Arabidopsis thaliana: one gene and its partner. The protein of the gene in region 2 purifies or fractionates together with the protein of the main gene of each other region. This does not show direct contact. Each region holds a gene or a part of one and is shown on either strand. Other genes may lie near its edges.

What was found. Proteins that work in one complex are often made in the same cells at the same time.
Region 1: the proteins of AT2G01710 (region 2) and AT4G31880 fractionate together in Arabidopsis thaliana (co-fractionation; one large-scale study listed by BioGRID). This does not show direct contact.

The regions. Positions count from the first base shown.
Region 1 is NC_003075.7:15,417,534-15,429,645, forward strand, and holds AT4G31880 (transcriptional regulator), read right to left. Parts: upstream 6,779-12,112; 5' UTR 6,407-6,778; coding exon 6,305-6,406; intron 6,022-6,304; coding exon 5,818-6,021; intron 5,733-5,817; coding exon 5,551-5,732; intron 5,219-5,550; coding exon 5,092-5,218; intron 5,017-5,091; coding exon 4,825-5,016; intron 4,709-4,824; coding exon 4,670-4,708; intron 4,562-4,669; coding exon 3,716-4,561; intron 3,625-3,715; coding exon 3,511-3,624; intron 3,325-3,510; coding exon 3,266-3,324; intron 3,090-3,265; coding exon 3,038-3,089; intron 2,881-3,037; coding exon 2,797-2,880; intron 2,720-2,796; coding exon 2,670-2,719; intron 2,566-2,669; coding exon 2,503-2,565; intron 2,410-2,502; coding exon 1,902-2,409; 3' UTR 1,414-1,901; downstream 1-1,413. Other genes in the region: AT4G31890 (ARM repeat superfamily protein), read right to left, coding at 9,757-10,657, 10,861-11,516. UniProt on the Arabidopsis thaliana protein: Cohesin cofactor dispensable during the meiotic division but playing an important role in DNA repair by homologous recombination (HR) probably by helping SMC5/SMC6 complex.
Region 2 is NC_003071.7:313,570-317,247, forward strand, and holds AT2G01710 (Chaperone DnaJ-domain superfamily protein), read left to right. Parts: upstream 1-2,078; 5' UTR 2,079-2,134; coding exon 2,135-3,202; 3' UTR 3,203-3,424; downstream 3,425-3,678. Other genes in the region: AT2G01720 (Ribophorin I), read right to left, coding at 3,624-3,678.

The sequences.
Region 1 (12,112 bases), on a different chromosome or scaffold from region 2:
ATGCACTGTGTGTGTGATGATGTTAAAGAAATTGCGAAGGGAAAAACATAATTTTAGAAATCGCGTGAAGGCTGAAAAGGTCAAGAACTTTTGTGTGTTTGTTGACCTAAGACTGTCCAGATTCATTACTTCCCGATGACAGAGAAAAACATAACTCCGACTCTTTGCATAGTCTAAGATATCACATGTATATAATTATGAAAAGATGTTTCCTTTTGGATTTGTTAAGTAGAAGTGGCATGTACTATCTCTATCTATCTATCCTAATAGTTAATTTATGACAAATATGACTCTAAAAATCTAGAAAACAGTTTTGACGGTCGCTTATTTAATTTAATTTTAAAACAACATTTTGATAATTAGACAACCATGAACATTTTATAGTTGACAAGCACATTCGAAATATAAATTTTTGAAGTAAATATTACAAGATATTATGATCGCTTTTTTTATATGTTTTAAAAATTAAACTATATTGCATGTCAAATTTAGATTATGATTATAATATCTATCAAAACATCAAATGTCTGGTTATCTTCATAACCGAAAAAACGAAGCAGATCATCTATATTAAAAAAAAAAAAAAAGATAGTTGCTCGGAGTCTAGTAGTCTACCTTAATACAAATCAAAAGAGTTCTTAAAATATATTTATGTTGGATAAAACCAGTTCACAGAACGCAAAAAATCATTTTTCTAATTAGGTTTTTAATAAACGAATCGTGTGTTTACATTTTACCCATATTTCATCTGGGCCTATGAAAAGTGAGAAATGAGAGAGAGTATGGGATCATGGACCACATGTTATCCCATTCACCAATGTATTACATCTATTTTTTTATACGCATAACAATAATGTTTCTTTTCCGTTTGTTAATGTCTCTAGATCTTGTTTTAATTAAACATCTCTTACTATTAGTTTGTTACTTTTTCTTTTCCTGAAAAAATGAAAGAAATAATGTATAACTTGCAACTTTATGCGCAAAAAAATACTATAAAACCCCATCTAAGACCTCAGATCTACTGGCCTAAGGTCCTTCATTGCAAGGCTTGTTGATAAATTAAAAGTTTTAAATCCTACGTATGGCTAATGTAAATGGAATATTCCTTAAATATGGGAAGCAAACATTGGGTATCCTTTTAGGAATCTCCGAGCATTTCGTAAACCACACATATATTCGTAAGAAAAGTCTTTGTTTCATCTAGAAACAAATCATAGTATTAAATTACAAAGATAAGATAGGAAAATCTCTGAGTATACAAGACTACACAACTCCCAGTCACAACGAGTTTCACTTTGCCCCATATTTTAAAGTTTTTGGTACAGTAACATTTTCAAAAAATAGCAATTTTTTTGAAGTTACTAGAGAACCTGCCGATTTACCCAGTACTGGTGGATATACATACACATTAGAAAGCATTCAAACTATTTTCTTGTCTAATGTTCCCAAACCAGGGTTACGAATAGCAGCACAAATCCATAACTCAACATAAACACTCGAGTCAAATTCAAATGATGATTTAGGAAGATAACAGGCTAATAATCGTCGGAATGTGTTTCCCTTTTCTTTTTTTTTCTGCCCAAATTTTCTCTGCAACACTCCAAAGAGAGGGAGAGATAGATGACAGAAAAACGTGGGTCAAAAAATAAAATGAAATGAAAATAACCAAAGCAACCTCCTTATGTATCCACCTTAACACAAACTACATCTGAAATCAAAACCTAAGTAAATAAAAAAGCATCACTACTAGACGTTTGTCTTTAAAACAATTCTACACTTCTACTGCTCAAGACGATGTTCAATTTCACGGCCACCATTACCCACCACACGCTTATCGCTTTCCACCTTAAATTACATAAACCATCATAATTCAAAAGAGAAAAGAGCACAAGCCCAGACACTCATCGCTTCCTCTTCTTACCGGACTTTGATTGACTCCCCTGTGACTTGCCTGATTTCGCTTTAGTTGCTGGTTCTGGCTCCTTGGGTGTCTCTTCAGATTCTGACTCGGAAGCGCTCTCTTTGGCCTTCGAAGCAGGTGTAGACGCAGAACCAGATTTTGCTTTACCCTTTCCTGTCTTGCTTTTGGCAGGTACAGATTTCACAGGTCCCGACTTGGATTTTGAAGAAGTTGTTGCCTTGGAGGGCTCTTCCTTTTTCTTGGATGAAGCTTTAGATTTCCCAGATTTCGATACGCTGCTTATATCTTTCTTCGACCTGCTGCTTCCTGATTTACCAACGGTTTTGGGGGGTTCCTCTTCCTCGCTCTCCTCCTCAGAGCTCGCCTCCTCTTCTCTGCTAGCTTCCTTTGAATCCTTCGATTTGCTCGCTGTTTTGTCATCCTGGGACGTCTTGCTGGACTTGGAAGCAGGAGTAGCTTTAGCCTTGCTTGATCCAGCTCCACTACCCCTGAATACATCAGAAGTACAATATTACGTATTAGTAGAGAATTATTTTAGAGACTTCAACACTTGTTAACTATTTGCTTTCAGTTTCAATTACTTTTTAGCTGATGAGTTGTCCATCTTTGATTGCTTGCCTGTCTTAGCTTTCTTCGTCAGGGGCCTGCATGACAAAATGCTAAGCTTGGTCATCACAAGTAAAAAGATGACATCTAGCTATTCCTTCCAGTGCCACATAAACAACGGAACTAAAGAAGTAACACGTACACTGTAGAGGCATCTTCCTCTTGACCCGTCTGATCAGCAGCTTCTTCATCCTGATGACAGAAAGTGTAAGTTACAAAATAGGCGAAGAGCAAAAAAAGCCAGAGATGGATGAAATATAATGCCCCACCTGTGACAATTCTGATTCATCCAGAGGACTCCACTTCTGATTCTTGAGATACAAGATTTCTTGATCTCCATCATCATAGATAACCTGCAAACGAACATGGCAACAGCATACAACAATTAAAATACCATAAAAAGGCCTGAAACAAAGATGTATAGCTTAGGAGAACATTCAAAAGGCTACTGGTTGACCACAAACAAATCAGGCGAACCAAAATAGGGGAGACGGATAAAATTGGGCTTACCAGATGTTTCTTCTTTGCAGCATCATATGACTCGACCACACCTTTATAGTACCTGCGGTAAAAAACAGATTACTCATTTGAAAGCATAGAAAACAAAAAATTACAATAACAGGTAGTCCAGATTCTGCTGTCTAAAGGAACAAACATAGAAGTCCAGAACAGAGAAAATGCAAATTGCCTTCTTGTAAATCAAATATAATTCCTAAGAAGAAAATACAAAATGCTTACGCTTGATCCATAGGCCACCAGACTTTGATCCTCGATCCAACTAAACTTTCACCAGATGCCTGCCCAAGAATTGATTCGGTATGAAAAAGTATACAAAAAGAAAAACTCGTACAGAGCAAAGGAAACCAGTACAATTAAAGGATAATCGTTTCAGAGAATATTTCTTCAACTTGAAGAGAATAAGAAGCTGCTCCCATGCACAATTACTACTGCAAATGGCAATTGGTGAAGTGAAGAAAACATACCTTCCCTTGGCCTAAACTTCGTTTTCTCTTTGTGTTTGAATTAGGACTTTCTTCTACCGTTTGCTTCGCTTCTTTCTTTGATTTTGAGGCTAGCTTTCCGGAGGAAACAGCTGGCTGAAAATAAAATTAAACCATATCGGTAAGAGGACAAGGACAGGGAAGTCAGATATGTATTCGAATCAATTCAGGTCAGGGAACTACTCACTTTTTCATTATCACCAGATGAAGTGTGTAATGACTCCTCATCAATGGCTTTCCCACGTCCTGGTTTTTTCTTTTCCTCTTTTGGCTTTGTGGATTCTTGTGCATTATCACTCCCAACTACCTTTTTCTCTGACTGCTTGGCTACTTTTGTCTCAGAGGTGCTTTTCTTTGAAGGAGGAACAGTAGGCTTTGTTTTACTTGACGAAGCAACCTTCTTTCCAGACTTTTTTGTCACCTGAGGTTCAGACGTGTTTGGTTCTTCAGAAACTTCTTCGGTAGCAATAGAAGCAGAAGGTTTGACCTCCTCTGTCGAGCTCTCCTTTTTCTTCTGGTTTGCAGTCTTCTTAGGGACGCTTTGCTCAGGAAGTTCCTCAGCCATTGACGGAGAACTGACATTGGCAGTTTCATCTCCTGATGTCTTAGATGGTAAAATCTGCACACTTTTATTCTTTTCATTTTCAGAAGAGGTGGCTGCGGTAACAGATGAATCAACAGGAGGCGAAGTTAACACATCCTTGCTGTCCAGGAGTTCTGCAGGTTCAGTCTCTTCTTTGATATCTGAATCTTTTGATAAATCCGCCTGTTTGACAGAACTAGATTCGTTTTCCTTTTCCTCAATTTGATGTTCAACATCAGGCTTCTCTTCAGTAGTATTATTCAAGTCAGTGTTTCTAGGATTATCAAGTTGCTGCGGCTCATCTTTGGCACCCGTATCGTCTTGCTTCTTCATGGAATCAGTATCAACCGAAGAATCATTCTGTTGCGCGACACCATTGCTAACTCCAGACTTACCAGATTCATCCTTAGGTGCATCAGTTCGCTCAGGGGTAGAAATTTCTGCTGCCTTCTGTTTATCATGTTTTAATTGGAACATAAAAATCAATTAACAATCTACAAAAGCTAAAAGAAGAAAGGCATCTATCCTTTTCATACAAATCAACAATGACTATCGTACCTCTACTTCCGTTTCCCTTTTTATATGACCTTGACTATCCTGGAGAGGAAAAATATGGAAGAACAGTATAAGAGCTAATGTAACTGAAGACCTGCATAATCACTAAAAAAGTTGAGGCAGTGCGGCAGTAAAAAAGGTGAGAAATAAAGGCTTACTTCTTTTTCATTTGCAACAACTTGGTCTTGCTGCAAAGCACTGAATGTCCCTTCACATATCGAAGCCACTATGTTACTATACTTATCTAGAGGGACACCCGACGATTTCACTGCTTCGGTCAGATAAGTTTTGAGCTTGCTAGCACAGTTACTGAGAACTTGTTCTGCCAACCTCCGTGATACTTGGGAAATCTGTTGATAAGTTAAAAGATTTAACAAAAGAGCATTGGTTGGTGATAGAAAATCAGTAGACCATCCATGTATTACCTCATCATCCTTTTTAACAGAATGTAGGATTGGTGAAAGCATCTCTGAAGGTATATCCTCGCTTTCTTCTAAAACAAGGGTCATTATGTTCTCCATAGATGAAAATACATTCCCTGAATGATGGTCCCTGAAAGGGTAAACAAGTTCAACATCAGACAAACATACTTATTGGATGTTGTACAAGCAAACATAAGCAACAAGCAATAGACTAGTTGTGAACTATATTGCGAGTACATAAAGTAAAGTAGCATAGTCCATGGATAGGTAGAACGACATGAATGAAATGATATCAAATGAGAACAACAACATCCATTAATCAAACATGACACAAGGAAATAAAGGAACAACAGGGAAATAAACAAGTAGACAATTCCATGTATGTGTATTTCCTGGACATTACATTACAAGATGAAAAAACAATGAGTTTAATTCTAGCATAATGGATATATTAGAGTGTACCTTATAGCCTTGAGGAAATGCTGGAACATCTCAATAAGAAGTGCATCACACTCAAGATCCAACATCACAACACATGACCTGACCTTAGCCACAGTTTCAAGGATAGATATCCTTTTAGCATAGGAACGACTAGATTTGTCAACCAGATCTTCAAATGATGATACAATCAACTTGAATACTTCCTGCACATGAATAGAAGAAAAGAGTCAGTAACCAACCAGCATAATGTCCACTCCCTCAAGAAAAAAATAACAAACAACTACATACCTTCATCTGGTCATCATCATAAGGAGCATCAGGAGCAGTTATTCTTGTAATCTCACTGATGCAGGCAGCGACAGCAACTTTGACATCGACATCTGAATGCTTGAAGAGTTTTCCACCGACTAATCCTTTCATCAATGGAGTGAGTGCATTCTGCATTGAGTCGGGAGGTGACTGTTCAACCTCCGCCAGGGATACGAAAAGTTTCTGCAGAAATAAAGCACAAGGATCATCAATCAAACTCACTAACTCCAAAACCACAGGGATTTTTATCCCAAACCGAGAAACAACCGTAACTAAGATCTAAAATGCAGGAATAAAAGCATTTGAGTAGATTCAGAGAGTAAAAGAGACGAAGGAAACAGAGCATTAAATCCAGAAATCGAGAGTAAACACATGCACAGACTTAGCATTGCCACGAATCCGAAGAAGAAGACCAAAATAAAAGAGAAAGAAACAAAAGGGGGTGGTGAAGGAGATGAGAGCTCACGTCAAGGAAAGAGAGAAGCTCATCGAGTGAAGAAGGCGGGTCAATAAGCTTTTCCCCAGCTTCAATAATCTGATTCTCGAGCTCTTTATCAGAATCCGACATGACTCCTTCTCCTAGTTTTCTGACTCGTTTCGCTCTTGCGTATCTACAATTGAATAGATCTCCTCTACAAACCCTAGATTCGAAAACAGAGAATTCTCAGCACCAAAAACCTAAAGCTTCCATTGAATTCCACAAATGGAAAGAGATGAGAAGACGGATTTAGCGAAGAAACTACGAGAAATTTTCCCCCCAAAGTCACTGAACAACACGCTAGGGTTTTTTTTCTTCTCTCCGCTCTCTCTTTTTTTTTTTTTTGTTCGCTCTCTCTCAATCTTAACAGTTTACAGAAAACTAAAGAAAAAAAAAAGTAAAGAAAAATAGGAGAGTCCTCAAGCGCCGTTAAAAAGATATATATATAATCTTTAAATAAAAAAATGGGATGTATTTAATATTTGGTGTACGGCAATTTATTAGTTGGTCGTCTATTTGACGAGATGTGTTTCTTCATTTATTTTTATTTCTCTTTCTCTTTTATGGAATTTTTTTATAGAAAAATGGAATACAAAAATCAAGGAAATCCAGTATTGCGATTTTTTCCCTTTATTTCGGATTTTACTTTAGATTATAAACTCAGGTTAGCTCATTATTTGCTTTCATATCCGATTTTTATATATTTTGTGAGTATTATTTGCTTTTTTATCAACCAGACTCACATGAAGCATATGAAAAATAAAATAAAAATGAGTATAAAGGATAAAATCCTGAAAAACAAATATATGTAGAAATTTGTAGTTGACATATTAAAGAAGAAAAATAAGAATTTGGTAAGATTCAATTTTAATAAGATTTTGTCACTATTAAGTTTATACGATTCTATATTAGATTGTTTTTTTGATTCTACATATGTACTATTTGGTATATTAAGATGTTGGGAATATAGACCTAGATAGAACTCTAAAAAGAAACATAGATTATTAAATTTATCGTTAACAGATCCATAAACTATAACGATTCATATTGCATTAACATGAAATCAAATATAAGATTCAACAACTAAAAACTGGATGAAAGAAAAAATATTAAGCGGTTTAAGAAAAAGAAAAAAAAAAATCATTTATTCCTAAGCATGTTGTCCCAAAACATAGAAATAAGTTTTGAATTTTGTAGGACTAACACTGTATAATATAGTCATCGTTATCGTATGTACACATATTAAAGGGCCTCCAGTTTATTATTTACCTATTGTCTCTCATGTCTATAGCTAATTAACACTTGGTTAGTAGAATTACTCAAACCTCAAGCGTGCAGCCCAATAGTTAGGCTGCTCAGAAACCCTATATGAAACACAAACGGGCTAATCTAACATTAGGCCCAAATCAGATTCCTAGCATCGTCGAGAAGCCCATAAGAGGGTTTGTATGCAAATATTAAACATTACTAAAAAATAGTGATAATTTGCTAGGTAGCACATTTTGATTGCTAAGTACTTGAAAAAAAAAAAAAAAAATTACTTTATCGCTAGCTACCTCCTCTCTCACTCGTCGCAAAGGTAGTCTTCACCCAGATAGAGAAAAAAAAAGACGTTAAAATGTTGTCATCATATTCTAATAAGACCTTATAGAAAACCCCTCTAAGCATATATTTTCTGTCAAAAAAAACATATTACTTTCTTATACCAAATTATAAACAACAATGTTGAAAATTATAGAATATTATAAGCACTGGTGGTAGTAGGTGTCGGTGTATGTGAAGAGCAAAGATGACTTTTCTTGGGGAATTTGCTTGAGTTCGCATTCCCACGGAAGAAGATAGCGACAAGTTTAAGCGGTTACAGAGACTTATACACGTTTCATATCGTACCATTCTCTAACAATGTGAATGAGATGATTTTGTAGCATGTTTACACATTAAAGTATAAGGGGGCAGGTATATTTAACCAGAAAAATTAAAGAGGATAGATACTAGAAGTATAAACAATGTGATATTCAAATTTCAAATGTATTATTAGAAAAGGAGTATAAGTAACACTACTATGCCAAAACTAATATGTAAAATCTAGATTAATCGAGCATGGCAAAACTAACTATTATAGAAATGAAACGGCAATAGATAAGATAAGTATGTTGTCGATATCCAGAGACAGCTAGTGCAGCTTTTAGTAGCCGAAGAAGAGTGTTCTCCATAACAGTAGATCATATCAAAACTTAAATAAAGTAGACTGTCTTTAATGAAAGCACTCACACTCCCACATGCCTCTCCCACCTTTCAATTATGTTGTTAATTATTTTAGACGTGTACTATTTCAAATTTGGACCATCCTTAAAATCTTGTAGGGTTTTTACAAAGTACACATCGAATATAAGCATTACTCTTTTAACAAAAGAGAAAAATATAAACTTACTCAAGTTTTTTAAGGATGAGTACTCACTCATAAGCCAAAAAAAAGGTGGAAAGATACAGTATTAATTTAACCATATAATAATAGTAAAAAAGCTGATAAAATTGGTAAAAGTAAAAGCTAACAAACTCTATAACTTTATAACAATACTTTTCACGCTAAGCCTAGTAGACCAATTTGGCTTTTTTACTTTTAACAAAACCACCAACCAAACCAAAAAAAAAGTTAACTCAAACACAACGACACATCGTACCTTGAGTACTATGCATTATATTAGATTGTGTCTGAGCACATTTGTCGCATACCTCAGAAGCTGATGAGATCTGGCGAAGCAACAACACTCTTCTTTGTTTTTATTTCCTCTTGTTAAATCAGCTCATATGTGTCTTTCTCTCTATTATTTTTGTAGAAATGCTTCATGAATCATGATGACACCTACAAGACGTGATGCTTGATTATTCTATAATGAATTTGTGTAAAATTTTCGCTACAAAACAAAACAATAACAAACAAAATGTAGTTAGATCGACAGATCCAATTTACTCCACGCCGCCACATTGTTTATTCAGGCATGTACTCTATTTTATATTCGAGAAACAACCATAAAATAATCTCTCAAAAGATTCCAAAACTCTGTTTGAAAATGTATTTTACAGAGACATAAATATAAAATTAAATACAAACAATAAAAGCAAAAGCAAGAGTGGACCAAGCCATACTTCAAAGTGAGATAATGACCGACACTTTAGTTAAGGAAGATGGGCAATATGGTAATTTCAAGATTCAGGCTATGTGGGTGGGGTCTCGAGGAAGACTAAAAAACTGGTGAAGTGCATGTGAGAGACTAACTCAATGCCCTCTAATATTACCCGAATTTACATTTTATGCCACTGTCAGTGAGTGAGAGACAGAGCATCAAATCAATAAAGCCTTGGGAAGAAAGTTAACAAACTTATCAATGTGACAATCTACTTAAATTAGCAATCTGACTAATGATTAAGACTTACATTTTTCAAAAGGGAAGGCTCTTTGAAGTGGAGCTCAAACTTAGTGACTTGAAATGCTCTGAAGGAACAAAGTCTTGTGGCAAATTAGCTCTCTTCACAATTCTCTTCATATTACTCTGTAAACTCTGTTGCACTAACTGTTTCACGGCTTTCCTCTCTTCGCTCATCATCAAATCGTTTTCCTCGTGGTCCAAACCGTTGTCTCTGGTCCCGTATATCGGTGCGGATAAGGCTCCGCATGATCCTGTACTATCCAGGACTTGCTTTCCTTTGTCTACTCTAAGACACTCTAATATCCTTGATGCTCTCTTTTGTGCCAGTGCACTTCCTAAAAGAGTTAACTCGAGCAACGCTGATTCGATTCCCGCCTCAATCATCACTTGTCTATCTCCGTATCCCTTGTGAGCCATCAACATTAGAATGTAAGTCGCCTTTTCTTGGCACCCCGGTGAGTCAGTCCAGTTCAGTACATCGACTAAAACCGGGAATGCGTCGCACACCAAACCGATTGCTTTTCTTCCTTCAGGGACTGCCACTAAATTGCTCAAGATAGCGAGAATCCTCTCACTCACTTCCATATCTCCCAATGTGTTCAAAAGATACGTGATCAAATCGGTTTCAAGGATAAACGAAACGTTTGGTTGATAGATTGAGAGGTTGTAGAGAGCTCTCAATGCGTCCTCTCTCGCTTGTGAGCTACTTGTTTCATCCAAATTCTGAAGAGTTTTCACCAGGAAGATTATAGCTCCAGAAGAACCAATAATCGGTTTGTTTGAATCTAAAGCGCTTAATCCAAGAAAATTAGCGACCACAGCTTCTGCAATCTCTTGATCAGGAGTGTTTGGAGACTCAATTAGCTTCAGCATTTTGTGAACAGCACCTGCTTTAACAATCGCTGCTTTGTTCCTGCAAAACAGAATCAAGGAAAGTCCTAAAATGGGTAAAATATTGAAATAAATGCTTCAAGTTATACACATTGTTCCATACTTCATACTCACTCTAGCAGAAAAAAAAAAAGACATGGAAAGTGACTTAACGAATGAACCCAAAACAAACACAGAAACTATTTGGCCGAAATAAAAATTCATGGCAATGAAAGTGAGACTTACGCGTCATTACCAATCCCAAGATTGAGCAGAGCATAAAGCGAAGCGATCTGAGCATCTACGATTCTCGAGTCATCGATCATACTAACTAACGGCGGAATCGCACCGAGCATCGCCAACGTCACTCTCGCCTCCGAGTCTTCCTTCGCCAACAACCGTACCTCACTCGCCGCCGTTATTTTCTTCCGACAGTCTCCTCCGTCATCGTTATCTTCACGCGCCGCCGCAGCTGATTGTAACTCTCTGACCACGCGCTTCAAAACCTCAAGAGCTTCCTCTTTCTTCATCGTCTCAACATCAGCTTCAACTTCAGCTAGATTCAACAGATCACAAAGCTTCTCCGATTTCTTCGATGTCTCCTCGAACGCTACGCCGTTCAACGCCGCGCCGATCGTATTAGCTTTCGCATCTTTCGATGATGCAACTGTTGACTTCGCCGTCACCGTCACGTAACTTCCTTCATCGTCCTCTTCCCGGAGCTCGTGACGGTAACGTGAGCTACCGCCGCAACTAACGGCGTCGACGATCTTTCTACGGAATGTGGATCTAGAGAAGGTGCTCCAGAGACGGAAATGGTAGCCGGAAGTAGAAGAAGAAGAAGTGGAAGGAGCACGGTCAAGAATGAGAGATCCGATATTATTCCGGTGACATTTAGCCATGGTTGTGATTCTCCGATCAGTTCTTTAAGCTTAACCTACTTACTACATATGCACCACCAACAAGCAAAGAGAGAGTGCGAAAGATTTATATATATCTTTTTATTTTTTTGTAAGAAAGAATTATAATTATTTGTTTGTTTATTTGGAAGCGAAAACAGAGCGAATGTTGACTGTTGATTACTTCTTTTTATAAAGAACAAAAATTTGCAGTACTTATTGATTTATCAAAGAATAAAAAAAAAACTGTGTTTGGATGCAGTCTTATAATAAATCGCGGATAAGCTATTCTATCAATTATTTTAAGTCAATTCTATATGCTTTTTTCTTCATTGATGATTTTTTAAATTGATAACGTTTATGAAAATTGTTTTTTTTTCTTTGAAGAGAAAATGTGAAAGTACAAGAGAGGGGTGAGTGAGGCCATCACTAATTTCAACCGTTCAAAATTTACAAAATGTGTGTCAGGGAAGCTTCTACAGTTCTACACAAGTCCCATCATTTTGATGATACTAAATCAGTAGATTGCTACTACTATTGGGGCTTTGTTTATGATTCTTTTTCTATAACACACAATATATTTCATTTTAAGAAAAAAG
Region 2 (3,678 bases):
CGAGAAACCAAAATCGCGATCGGAGAAATCGATGAGAAGAAGGAGCGGAGGATTATTTCAACGGCAAAGACGAAAACAATCAGATCTGGTCAAAAACGATGAACTCATCTGTGGCTACCATAGTTACTCGGTTTCTCCAATTCGATTTCTGCACAAACTAATTTCTGATCTTTTTTTTTTATTAATTTGTTTTTCTTTCTTAGTGGATTTGTTTTTTGGTCACAAGTGATGTCTTTAAAAAACAAGGAAAAAAAACTAATAAAGAAGACAAGTGAAAAGTGCGTGATCACTGTATCAAATGACAACTTCACCCTTAATGTTAGTAGCAGCTAACCGGGGTAATATTGGTATTTACTAGAGTGGTATTTTTTACAATTTTAGGTTACAGTATTTGGTTATATTAATTTTTCTATTTTGAAACATTAGCTAAAACATGATTATTCTTTATTTATTCACATCACATTGAAAAGTAAATAAATTGTAGTTGGAAATAATATCATTTCTTCATATCAATATGAATATTATTATCAATATTGATAATTATATTTTTATTTTTAACATTTTTATAACATCTTCAAACACATACATTATTTCAAATACCATTAGATATTATATTATTATTTTAAACATTTATTATTATTTCATATCATGCTTTTTTATAGGTGACTTAAATATGGACTTTGTTTCCAATAATATAGTTATATCAAATTTTATTTTTTAAACATTTAATATCATTTCTTATCATGCTTTCATTGCTTTTGTTTATAGTTTGAATGAACGAAAAGAAAAAACGATAATCATGTTTTATTTGTAAAGTTTGTTGTGAGTAGTATTGCAAATAAATTTAATATTTTATTCGGCCGGCAAACGTTACAAATAAAAAATAATTATTATTTCCATTTTATTTGTACTATGTACAACAAATAAATAAATTATGGTAAGAGATAATATTAAATGTTTTTATAATTTTCATGTTTTATTTGTATTATTTTGTGAGTGAATCAAAGATGAACTTTTGTTTTGGTAGGTAGTCATAGATGAACTTTATTTCTGATTTTTTTTTTTTTTTTGTCAACAGATTTTATTTAGAGCTCAAAAGAGCCAATTGTGAGGAAAATTATTTATAAAAGTGACATGAAGCGGTTCAATATGAATTTTTCGTGCCAATTTGTCCGCCTTTACATTTGCAGTTCGAGAAATTAAAGATAAAGAAAACTTTGTGAATTCCTCCTTATATCGGTCTTTAGTTCCTCCAAATAAGTTGAAAACGCTGGTCATTCGGTTGGAGAAGACACCATCTTCACCAAGTCTGAATAGTCTGTAAAAAATGCTACTTCTTGGTTGTCGGCACCAATCATACACTTCATCGACCAAAGTAGTGCTTCGACTTCTGTATGGAGTGGATAAAGACTTCTACGAAGATTAGCAGCTCCCATGGTTGGCGAGTCTCCATTTGATGATCTGCAAAACCACCCTAATCCAGAAAACTTATCGCTTCCTTTCCAAGATCCGTCCACAAAACAACGCAAACCAGAATAAATATTATCGTGTGATATATTCTGAACCCGAATTTGTTTTTTCGATCCCATGGAACCGTTATTTTTGGTATTGAGCTCAAATTGAGCTAACTGCCATAATTCTGCCTCTTTTTCTGTTAAACATAATACGTCTAACTTTATTTCCGATATTCTTAGCTCTAGAAAATTTTCATTCTTAAAACATTTAATATTATCTTGACCATATATTTTTTAGTTATGTTGTCTGAATAAGATGAATAAACAATAATTATGTCTCATTTATAAATTATAACTCTCTAGTGAGTCAAATACCGACTTTATTTCCAATATACTATAGTAATTTTTCCTTTTATTTACCTTTTTAATGTAGTGTTAATAAAACCAATAAAGTATATAATCATATTATTTTTGTAACTGGTGACACAAAGCTGGATTTTATTTGCAATATTATAAATATGGCGAAATAGGAAACGAATTGTAAGTAGGTAACATTATAAAAGGGTGAAAAATAATAACATAAAATAAAATTGTGAAAAATAATAACATAAAAATGAAGAAATGATTTTATTACTAAATAAATTTGGTAACAAATAAAGTTTTAGTTTCCGTTTACTCCAATGTTACTATTTTTTTTCCCCCGACCATTTTTACACACAGCCAATCAGAGCCTTGTTTCATCGTCTCTTGTCGAGGCGATAATATTTAGATCTGCTCACCATTTCTCCGCCATCGCCGACGGAAGAAGAAAGATGGGAGACAACAACCCTAACCGATCAGAAGCAGAACGTCTTCTCGGAATCGCGGAGAAGCTTCTCGAGTCACGAGATCTAAACGGTTCAAAAGAGTTTGCAATCTTAGCTCAAGAGACAGAGCCACTCCTCGAAGGCACCGATCAAATCCTCGCCGTCGTCGATGTCTTACTCTCATCAGCACCAGAGAATCGTATCAAAAACCAACCAAACTGGTACAAAATCCTTCAGATCGAAGATCTAACTGAATCATCAACAGACAACGATCTAATCAAGAAACAATACCGTCGTCTTGCTCTTCTTCTCCACCCTGACAAAAACCGTTTCCCTTTCGCCGATCAAGCTTTCAGATTCGTGCTTGATGCATGGGAAGTTCTATCAACACCTACGAAGAAATCTCAATTCGATGGAGATTTGAATCTCATCTTCACTAAAGTAAATCTCAACACTCAGAAATCGAAGAAGAAAACAACAACGAATGAGAAGATGTCTACGTTTTGGACGGCGTGTCCGTACTGTTACAGTCTTCATGAGTATCCTAGGGTTTATCAAGAGTATTGTATTAGATGTCAAAACTGTCAAAGAGCGTTTCACGCTGCGAGTATTCCTCAGTTGCCTCCGTTGATACCTGGTAAAGATGAGTATTATTGTTGTTGGGGTTTTTTTCCGATGGGGTTTGTTGGTGGTAAAGGAGGAGAAGCTGCCATTGCTAATGGAGTAGATGCAGCTAAGTTCCCTAATTGGATGCCTCCGGTTTTCTCATCCGGCGGCGTTGCAGCTCCTCCAAGTGGTAATGGTGTTAGTTTTGATGGATGGTCAGGTGGTGCGGCGAAGAGAGATAATGAGGCTGTGAGGAGTAATAATGGTGTTGGAGTTAATTCAGATGGAACACCGAAGAAGAGAGGAAGAGGAAGGCCGAAGAAGAATCCGGTTTAGTGATCTCTTTTCAAACTCCGGTCATGATTGTTAAAATTATGGAGACAAAATTTTAAAGGCAAGTTTTTTTTAAGGCAAGGAAGTTTAGGATCAGCGTTTGTTGTCTTAGTGTAAACTTTATTATGCATTTGTTGTTATTACCGTTGTGTAATTGTGTTATCTTGATTTACTTTGAAACATTTTCCTCATTACATAATTTGGCAATTCGCTCTTTTCCACTTCACTTGTTGGATGGATTAAACACTTTAGATTCTCTGTAAATAAAATTGAGGAAAAATCAAGATTGGAGAGCAAAGTAGTGTCAAAGATATAACTCTACTAAAAGCAGCAACACCTACAAAGTTTAGTTCTTCAAGTGATGATCAAAAGTATTTTCTTTTACGAGTCTATAAGTGAAAGCGAAGGACTGTTGATAAGACTTCTACTTCCTGACGATATTGAGATCGATGTGTACATACGCAAGCGAAGCCACAAAT